2 linked regions of the Arabidopsis thaliana genome follow. The protein of the gene in region 2 interacts with the protein of the main gene of each other region in a pairwise test. Each region holds a gene or a part of one and is shown on either strand. Other genes may lie near its edges.

Region 1 (5,373 bases), on a different chromosome or scaffold from region 2:
TTTACTTTTATACAGGCTCTAACTATATATTCAAGTTCAAATGTGTATGTGAGAGGCTTAACTATCCGGAACAGCCAACAGATGCACTTGATCATACAACGGTCAACTACAGTTCGAATCTCTAGAGTTATGGTCACATCTCCAGGAGACAGTCCCAACACTGATGGAATTCATATAACCGCATCTACCGATGTTGTAGTCCAAGACAGTAAAATCAGCACAGGTTCTTCACCAAAAACTTCTATTTAACTCAAAACACTATCATGGTAATTATAATATTAAACTCAAAATGTTATAGCTGACACTTCAACTTGAAAACAGGAGATGATTGTGTCTCGATTGTGAATGGAAGCGCCAAGATAAAGATGAAGAGGATCTACTGTGGACCAGGACATGGAATCAGGTAAACCATCTCTAACCATAAAAAGAAATGAGACACATATATTATTATTGATTGCAAATAATTTCTTGTTCTGTAGTATTGGAAGTCTTGGACAAGGACATTCGAAAGGAACCGTCACTGCAGTTGTGTTGGAAACTGCGTTCTTAAAGAACACAACTAATGGTCTAAGAATCAAGACATGGCAGGTAAAATCTCAATTCTATTGATCTTTGCTTTCCTTCCAAAGAGTTTTCAGGATTGATTGAAAGATGAAACTCTTTAAAACAGGGTGGTAATGGTTACGTAAAGGGTGTACGTTTCGAGAACGTAGTGATGCAGGACGTTGCGAATCCGATTATAATCGATCAATTCTACTGTGATTCACCATCAACTTGTCAAAACCAGGTTTTAATTCTTTCACATAACCATTGACTTATCAACAAACCTCAAGAAAGAAACTTAATCTTTTGATTCCTATTTCTTTGCAGACATCGGCGGTTCACATATCCGAGATAATGTACAGGAACATAACCGGAACCACGAAAAGCTCAAAAGCCATCAACTTCAAGTGTAGTGACGCAGTCCCTTGCAGCCACATTGTCCTCAACAATATCAACTTGGAAGGCAATGATGGAAAAGTAGAAGCATATTGTAACTCTGCTGAAGGGTTTGGTTATGGTGTAGTTCATCCTTCTGCGGATTGTCTGTATTCGCATGACGACAAGAGCTTAAACCAAACTGATCAGTATTTGGCAGAAACTATTATGGTCGAAAAAGAAACTGAAAATGCTCATGATGAGCTTTAAGGTGATCACATATTTTGACGGTCGTTGTAGTGAGGAATGTGCACGTTATATTTAGTTGTAATTCATCTTTAGCAACTGACCTTATATATATAGCTTGTTAATGAAGCATATACAATGAGATTGAAAAGCATTGTAGTGTTTATAAATTGATTATAATTAAGGTAAAGATTAATATTTTTGTATAAAAAATGAATGCTTATTTGGTAGTTTGTAGCATTTGCTCATCTCTCTATGTTTTGTTATGATCGTTAAGGGTTGGCAGCAAAACCAGACCCAAATGTTTAAATTTTTAAGCTAATACTAAACCGGAATTGTCTCTCAATTGATTAATTTTATCATTTTGAAAATAAATCTTTTAAATGATTTTGTGGCTAACGTTTCCCAAAGTTAACCAAACCAGACAAACAAAATTTCATTAAAAATATCATTAATAGATGTAGATATGTAATCATATTATATATATTAAAATTATTTTAATAATTATAAAATTTATCAAAATTGATTGAAATGACGATTTCTTATTGGTCAGACAACATCAACAAATAACGAAATTTTCACTGGAGATGAAGTAGCACTTAAGAAAAGAGTATTGCTCACGTGTTAAGTTTTAATTGGTTAGCTCGCGAACACCTGCACACTTGGTCATAGAAGATTCGAAGAGGGTAATTCCGTCAATTACAAATGGCAATTTCGTTAATTGGCGTGAGAAACGACGAATAAACCGGTACCCCTCTCCCTTATAAAATTGCTCTCCACCACTTCCCATTTCGGCGTCATCGCGTTTCTCTTAAGCTTCTCTCACATTTCTCTTTCAAATTTCTTCGAGTCTCTCTCGCTCTCTCCGTTTCTTCGCGGTCTCTCTCTCTCAGATCTCTCCGAAACATTCTTCGTAGGTACGCTTTGATCTAAGATCTGTGCTCATACATTCTCAATTTAGCGTAGATCTGTATGTGTTCTGCATTTCTCGTTTCTTGTGAATTTTGATGGTTTTGGAATCGTCGTGATTGATTTCGTTGAGGTTGATCTTGCTCATGAATGGATAATGCGATTTTATTTTTAAGATGTGTATATATGTCGACGTTTCTGATTACGATCTGATAGTGTGGATCTGTTGAATTTTCTATTCACTTTCGTTTTCCGTCGTTGTGATTGTATCTGATAGCTTCTGAGATGTTGAAGATCTGTATCAGAGAGATTATGATATCTCGGGACGTTTGATTCTCTGTTTGGATCGGCCTGATCTCGTTGAAATTTGATGTTTGTGAGTGACGATTTTGGTATTGATCAGGTTCTTAGAGGATATAAGAATTGAATTTGGCATTATAGATGCATAATTTAGGATTTCTGAGATGAAAATCGCGTGATATAGAATGTGTATGAGGTTTTTGATATTAGACTTTGTTGTGTTTGTTTGCAGTGAAGCAAAATGGGGTTGAGTTTCGCCAAGCTGTTTAGCAGGCTTTTTGCCAAGAAGGAGATGCGAATTCTGATGGTTGGTCTTGATGCTGCTGGTAAGACCACAATCTTGTACAAGCTCAAGCTCGGAGAGATTGTCACCACCATCCCTACTATTGGTAAAGAAGCTTCACACCTTAGTACTGGTTTTTAAATTGTGATGATGGTATAAAATCTAGGATCGATTAGTGATATGCTAAATTCTATCAACAGGTTTCAATGTGGAAACTGTGGAATACAAGAACATTAGTTTCACCGTGTGGGATGTCGGGGGTCAGGACAAGGTATGGAGTCTCTGTACTGCTTATTGTTTGATGAAGGAACTTTTCACCCAAATAAACTGACTTTTTGGCTTCTTTTTCAGATCCGTCCCTTGTGGAGACACTACTTCCAGAACACTCAAGGTCTAATCTTTGTTGTTGATAGCAATGACAGAGACAGAGTTGTTGAGGCTCGAGATGAACTCCACAGGATGCTGAATGAGGTAAATATCCAGTGCTATAGAGAAAGAGTTCTTCTTCATAGTTTTGTTAGTTTGAAAATCCTTTACTTACCAACTCTTTTATTGCAGGACGAGCTGCGTGATGCTGTGTTGCTTGTGTTTGCCAACAAGCAAGATCTTCCAAATGCTATGAACGCTGCTGAAATCACAGATAAGCTTGGCCTTCACTCCCTCCGTCAGCGTCATTGGTAAATAAACATCCTTATAAGTTTCAAAAGTCAAACAATTTCTGTTCGATACTGATGTGTGTTTTTGCTCGCTACAGGTATATCCAGAGCACATGTGCCACTTCAGGTGAAGGGCTTTATGAAGGTCTGGACTGGCTCTCCAACAACATCGCTGGCAAGGTAACATAACTACATAAGTTTCTTCAAAAACACACAAATCTAACGAGCTGGTTTCTTTTTATTCTGCGATGCTTATATCTTTACCTCGTGTTGCTCTTCTTGCACAGGCATGATGAGGGAGAAATTGCGTTGCATCGAGATGATTCTGTCTGCTGTGTTGGGATCTCTCTCTGTCTTGATGCAAGAGAGATTATAAATATTATCTGAACCTTTTTGCTTTTTTGGGTATGTGAATGTTTCTTATTGTGCAAGTAGATGGTCTTGTACCTAAAAATTTACTAGAAGAACCCTTTTAAATAGCTTTCGTGTATTGTGCCTGGATTAATATGATTGATTGTTTTGCTTTCTTGTTTTTGCGTATCCTATTTTCACGTCTGCATCGTTTTCATCACAGAAATATCTTTCTTTCTTTACCAAAATAAATGAATTAGAAATTTTGTATATTTGAAAATTCATATCACTATTGGTCATTGAGTCATGGTTGTAATGGTCATGAGTCATTGAGTCATGGTTGTAAACTTCTTCAACAAGGAATAGATTCCCACATTTATATGCCAGTGTATCTTATGAAAACAAATATTATATTATGTTCACATATTGCTGGGTGATCCAAAAATCCTCAAGATATCTATTATCCCAGAATCATGGACTGTGTGAGTCTGTGACTTAACACAAATCATTGCGTCGTCTCCTTGATGTTCTTCTATGTGCAGACCATCTTTCTTTTATATCTCCAGGTGTGCCAATCCGTTGCTCATCGGGCGAGTGACCATCCTCCATTACTCCAGCTGCACGGATCCTGGCGGTCTCAGCCAACAAGTCATGGATAAGCATCTCTGTCGTCTTAGCCGTGATTCCTCTGAGATACCAAGAAATGGGCGGAGGTGGAACAATCGCTGGCTGTATTAGCTGGTCCAGCGTTACCTTAGATCCGATCCTCCCTTTACCTCCAGTGCACCTGTTATACTCCTCCAGCGTTTTCGGTTTCAAACGATCGCACATATGTTCATCCACAAACAAAGGCTTTACTTGCCAGCTTCCTTCGAATCTCTTCATGAATCCACTTTTCACTTGCTTGAATTTCATCTGCAACACCCATTTAAATCCCCTTTCACGAACCATTCAAGAAACTTGAGACTTTTGTTATAATCGTAGAGGTCTTACAGAGTGATCTGCCCGATCCTGATCCACCAAGACATGAACTGAGATTGTTCCTGACCACCAGAGAAATCTCCACAAAGCTGCTTGTTCAACTTCCACCACTTGCCTTAACCCGTCATCTACCAATACTTTCCGCGACATAACCTCCTGTAATTCCGAGGCCAATGAATCACAGGAGCTTAAAACTGTAACAGAGAGAACAAGATAATCTATAAGAAACGTACCTTGATATTCTTGAAGACTCTTCTATTGTCAGGGTCAATTACAATGTTATAGACTGCATCAGGAGGTAAACCAACATTCACCTCGGCTTTAAGATTGCAAAGCGATCCTTTTGGAATACCCACCTGTAAAGAAATCTTGTTATTATTTATCATATAACAAGATTCTCAAAGACTCTGACAAAACCATGTTGTAAAGTTCATCTCTTGCTCACCTTAACGACTGGGATCTGATCAGTCCACGAAGGGTTTTCCCTCCAACAATCTAACTGTTTCTCCAGATCAATTTGCATGGAGATCGATGAGTTTCCTTTATCTTGCCTCCATGAAGAACCAATCCCATGCTTATCATCTGTCAAATTCTTCAGCTGGGACTGTGACAAAGAGAACAAAATGCTTCCTTTTTCAGCTCCTCTAAAGATCAAAAACATCACAAGGTATTGAAAAGCAATGTGTGGAATCAGAGCATGACCTTAAGACGAGTTTGGAGTTTCTGGGA
Region 2 (5,010 bases):
TCTTACTTTTGCCTGACCCTTAATTTTTTGTACTTGCAGAGCTATTTCATCTTGAACTGGTTGAAGGCGAAACAATTAGAGAGTGGCTCTTCTTTGACAAACCTAGAAGAGCATATGATAGCGGAAACCGAAAGCAAAGATCACTTCCAGATTACAGTGGAAGAGGTTGGCATGAATCAAGAAAACAACTGATGAAGGAACAAGAAGGCCAGAAGAGATCTTACTATATGGATCCACAACCTCCAGGTCCCTTTGAGTGGCATCTCTTTGAATACCAAATCAATGAATCTGACGCATGTGCGTTATATCGCCTAGAACTTAAAGTAGGAAATGGAAAGAAGAGTCCTAAGGGAAAGATTTCAAAAGACCCTCTGGCTGATCTGCAGAAGAAGATGGGACAGTTTAAAGTGGCTTCAGACAAACCCTCTCCTCCAACCAAAGGTCGTAAGGAGTGAAGTTAGCTATTGGTAATCTAACTCAAGACTCCTGCAACAATAGCTCCAAGTTGTCTCCAGCATTCTACAAAAGAGCCATCGCCACCTCTGTTTTCTTTTTTTTTTTCTTTCTGACTGTATTATGAAGAGATAGGATCTTTGATGTGTTGTGTTAATATGGACAAGTCTGGTCTTTGCCCTTTTTCTTGATAGAATCGTAGATGGGTTTGTAAATTTTTGCATTTTATTTTTCTCCTTTAAAACCACAAGGATTTTGTTAACGAAGTGGTGTATTCATATTTCAAAGGTACATTTGCAACACCATTGATTCTTTATTCCAATTCTTATCTACGTGTGTGTGTGAATGAAACTTGAAACCAATACAAGTCACTAATGCTCTCAGATTATGTAATTGGGCTTTACTGGGCCGTTTATAAAATTGGGCTAGAAAAAGGGAGACAGCAGACGACAAGAGCATCCTTGTTCTCTTTAAACCCTAAATTACAAGCAAATCACCAACAGAGAGAGTAATGGCGAAAAATTCTGGTAGCTCGTTTGAAGCAGAGAAATCAGAGGGAAAGTGTGTTACGACGACTACTGAAGCACAAGTAATTCAAAATTCTGGCTGATGAATTATGTATTTGATTTTACGTATTTGTAATTCACTAATTCTCACTGATTCATACAATTTGTGTCGTAAATGAACAGCAAAGTAGTCAACCTGTTTTGAGCAAGGAAGAGGAGAAAGTGAGAGATAGCTACTTGTTCTGCTGTGAAAATTTCTACACTCTTCCTGAGATGATCAATTTCATGAAGGAGATTCATGGTGTAGAACAAACCACTGTGACAAAGGTTTTCAGGGAACTTTTAAAAGGTAGAAAAGCTGAAGCATATCTCAGAGAATCTCAGAAAAGAATGAAGGCAAGAACAACAACAACAACTTGAACAGAGGAGGATGAGGCTTAGGTTGCTCTAATTTGAAATTCTTTGGTTTGGTTTACTGGTTAGTAAGAAATAGACTTGTATTGTCACATTTTTTTATCATATTTTGAGGTCCATTGCTTTGGGTGTATGGACCAGACTAGGACAAATGAATAGGAGATGCAAAAGGGTAATAATGGAGAAGTCAGTCTTGTTGGTCTATTCTTGTCCGAGTCCATGATTTTTAGAGGGAGAACTAGAAGGAGGAACTAAAAGTTGTTTAGGTTAATGGTTTAGGTGCTAAGTGTTGGCTCTGTGTGTTACTTATGACTCGTGGGATCTAATGTCTTGTGAAAAATCACTTGTGAGATAAAATGGACATAGTCTAGAGAAGAAGGTATATAAGAAGAAAAGCAGTCAACTTAACTACAAAATCACAACGGCTCACAACTGTTTTATGTTGTAGAAGTTGGTTGCTTCTTAGAGTGGTTCATTCTTCATTACCAGCTAACCGCAAATAACCGTGACTTGAAGTCTTTCGAATTACACTTCTTTCACTCGTGGTTCAAACTTCTTCTGTTCAAGTTGTTATGCCTTCTCCAGCCATTACTTGATTTCAAAATGGTGTTGATGGTCTCATTCTTGAAGGCTTGGATGTTTCTCAACTTTTTGCTCTTGAACAAGAGCCAAGAGGTGATGGGACTCCGTAGTACAAACACAATTTAAGAACGTTTGAGTAAGAGTTTTGATTCACATTGAAAAAAAAACTTAGAAGAAAAAATGAACCAAACTAAAATAATCAAATTAATTTAGTTTATTAATCAAGAATTAAATCAAGTTTTAATAATAACCTGAATTGTAGATTTTTTTTCTTTTCTTAATAGTCGAATACTGAACACTGTAGTATTAAATGAAAACTCAAAGCCCAATATAATTCAAAGCCCATCGAATCAAATATCTGGCCACTCCACTTATTCTTAACTTGAAACTTAAAAGCCGAAATCGTAAAGAGAGAATCTGGTCGGAATAATCCACTCGAATCTTAAAACGACGTCGGTTTAACCAAATGCGAGTCAACGGATGCTGCTGCAATGCGTCGTGTTGTGTTCGTCACTCGCCGTCGTCGTCATCTCCGTCGCTTCGACCTCTCCCCTCGTTGGTGTTCACCCTTTAGGTTACTTCTTCGATGACTCTTATCTTTATTATATCGACAAATCTGAAAAATGTTCTTGTTCTCTGATTCTTACTTACTTCTTTGTTGTGAGGCAGATGAAAAGTATTTCGACTCAGATGTTATCAAATGCAAAGATGGCTCCAAATCTTTCACAAGAGATCGTCTCAACGACAACTTCTGCGATTGTCTCGACGGCACCGATGAGCCTGGTACACACTTTTTTCTCAATTTAGAATCCAGAGAGCTGAGATGACATGAGACTTTAAATTCTTTCCAGATAAAAAGATTTAGGACTAGAATTGATCGAATCTTATTCTCTTTCACAATTTCAATTATGAAAAATGTGTTCTTGTGAGTAAGTTTCTGAATTTCTGATTTTGCATTACAGGAACTTCGGCATGTCCAAATGGCAAATTTTACTGTAGGAACATTGGAAGTTCTCCAAAGTTCGTTTACTCTTCTCGTGTGAATGATCGAATCTGTGGTCAGTAGTTACTAATGTTCTGAATTCGACTAAATGATTCTCGTTTCAGCTGTCTCTTGCTGTATGCTAGTAATCTACATGTTTTTGTTGGATTGGATAAGCAGCATGACATTGTCTGTTTCTCAGATTGCTGCGATGGAAGCGACGAGTACGAAAGTAGCATTCATTGTCCCAACACTTGTATAATGGGTGGTAACGTTAACTACATCTACAAACCTAGAGCCAACCTTAAATCTATACACTTGCAACTCGGTTCAACGCCTCATCCAAAGGAGTTTTATACTATAGGAAATCTTCAGGACATGGTCAAGAATCTACAAGGTTTTGCAACTTTTCTTGGGAAGCTTATTTGTTTTGTTTGATTGTCTAGCAAACTGATACAAAAACAATTGTTGTTGTTGTTGTTTCCAGGTATGAAGCTTGTTTTCGCTCTTCAGATGGTTTTTATCGGTTTCTTAGTGATCTTATGGATGCTTAGGAGTCGTGCTCGGTCTAAGAGACGACGCTATCTGCTGAAGAATGTACCTCCCATTAATAGATCAGCTAACTAACTCCCTGGAACTTGTATTATACTTTTGTGAAGCTTTTACGTGGAACCTGAGTGTTAAAGCCACATATGTCAAGTGTCATTACTAGCTATACTTATTCAGTGTGAGATTGTTTGTTCCTAGTTACATAATTGTCTTGGTCTTCATGTTTATTAAGCCTTCAGATCCTCAGACCATAGTAGGTACCGATGAGTCTTATCACAAGTAAGATAGTCACATGATCTGCAGATTTTCTAGAAAATGGATGGATTCACAATTTGAATGATCTCATGGTGAATTATTCGACTGATATAAGGTTTTATGAAAATGAACTCTTGTTTGTTTCTCACAGACAAAATCAATATACAAAAAACATTACAAGCCATTGAAGAGAAGAGAGAAATTTACAGTTAAAAAATCCTGAAAAAATGATTTGTAAACTCAAGATTGGAAACATCCACAAGTTGCCTTTGGAACAATTCTAATGGCCCAGTATTTTAGCAGCCGTTTCTTCTTGCTTCTCCACGCTTACCTTCAATCATTGCACTTCTTTCTTCTGCTTCCTTGTGAGTCACTGAAACCTAATTCATCCTCTCTGCATACTCCTGCTTTCTTCTTCTCTAGTTCCTCCTGCAGTGAAACAAATTCACAAACACTTCACTTCTCATTGTTCTCAATCACATTGAAACAGTATCAGCTCTCTATTGCTAAGTTTATTTTACCTCCATTTTCTTGAGTTGCACTTCGACAGCTGCTTTCTTCACTTCTCAACGGAAAACTAGTCACATAGTTTAGTTTAAGGTCACCTCTAACGAGTGAAGCAGACCAAGATTTCGCCAGTGCAGATTCTGTAAGAATTTTCATTCTACTAAAACATAAACAGCAATATGCCAAGCCTTAACACAAAGAGTGTCACAGGTAAACACATACAGAGCAAATGCATGATTCTGTCATAAAGCTTCAAATTTAGCTGTAATATATTACCTCCATGGATGTGTATTGAATCGTAAATAGGCCGCTTCTCTCTCGAAACAAGAACTAGCAATGGTAGCCTGATGTCAACGTATGTTGTATGAATCAAGTCCCCAGTGCAACTTGAAGGTAAAAGAACTTCTTCACACTGTTAGGTCGAAAGGTGAAACTTAAAGCTTATGTACTAGACAAGGCGATGGAACTTCTTCACACTGTTAAGGACAGACTTAGAGGTAAAAGAAAAACTTGAGTAGCTCATGGAGTTTAGCTAGAGGTTGGTCGCTAAGATATTTGTAAACTGAAGATGCTAATGGTTATATTAGGGATGATGATCTTGAAGGAATTATTTGGAAATGACATAACAGATGATGTGTGATTTCCTCCTTTAAAACAAAATCGTTTGGTTTTGATAATCATGAAAATATTTCTATGAGATTACTGTCCGACACACATTTAGAGAAATAATTCACTGACTATATATTCCGTAAATACATGTAC

Evidence for each region. Proteins that work in one complex are often made in the same cells at the same time.
Region 1: the proteins of AT2G42390 (region 2) and ARFA1D interact in a protein complementation assay, tested with the Arabidopsis thaliana proteins (one large-scale study listed by BioGRID).

The regions. Positions count from the first base shown.
Region 1 is NC_003070.9:26,562,394-26,567,766, reverse strand, and holds ARFA1D (Ras-related small GTP-binding family protein), read left to right. Parts: upstream 1-1,955; 5' UTR 1,956-2,081; exon of another isoform or gene 2,082-2,605; 5' UTR 2,606-2,614; coding exon 2,615-2,762; intron 2,763-2,856; coding exon 2,857-2,927; intron 2,928-3,007; coding exon 3,008-3,127; intron 3,128-3,214; coding exon 3,215-3,333; intron 3,334-3,410; coding exon 3,411-3,492; intron 3,493-3,599; coding exon 3,600-3,605; 3' UTR 3,606-4,049; downstream 4,050-5,373. Other genes in the region: AT1G70500 (Pectin lyase-like superfamily protein), read left to right, coding at 16-223, 322-403, 480-588, 671-787, 871-1,188; AT1G70480 (OBP32pep, putative (DUF220)), read right to left, coding at 4,159-4,578, 4,657-4,800, 4,878-5,000, 5,090-5,248, 5,347-5,373. UniProt on the Arabidopsis thaliana protein: GTP-binding protein involved in protein trafficking; may modulate vesicle budding and uncoating within the Golgi apparatus.
Region 2 is NC_003071.7:17,649,935-17,654,944, reverse strand, and holds AT2G42390 (kinase C substrate, heavy chain-like protein), read left to right. Parts: upstream 1-2,301; 5' UTR 2,302-2,435; coding exon 2,436-2,529; intron 2,530-2,624; coding exon 2,625-2,738; intron 2,739-2,917; coding exon 2,918-3,013; intron 3,014-3,139; coding exon 3,140-3,334; intron 3,335-3,424; coding exon 3,425-3,564; 3' UTR 3,565-3,839; downstream 3,840-5,010. Other genes in the region: VOZ2 (vascular plant one zinc finger protein 2), read left to right, coding at 40-455; AT2G42395 (uncharacterized protein), read left to right, coding at 965-1,042, 1,143-1,379.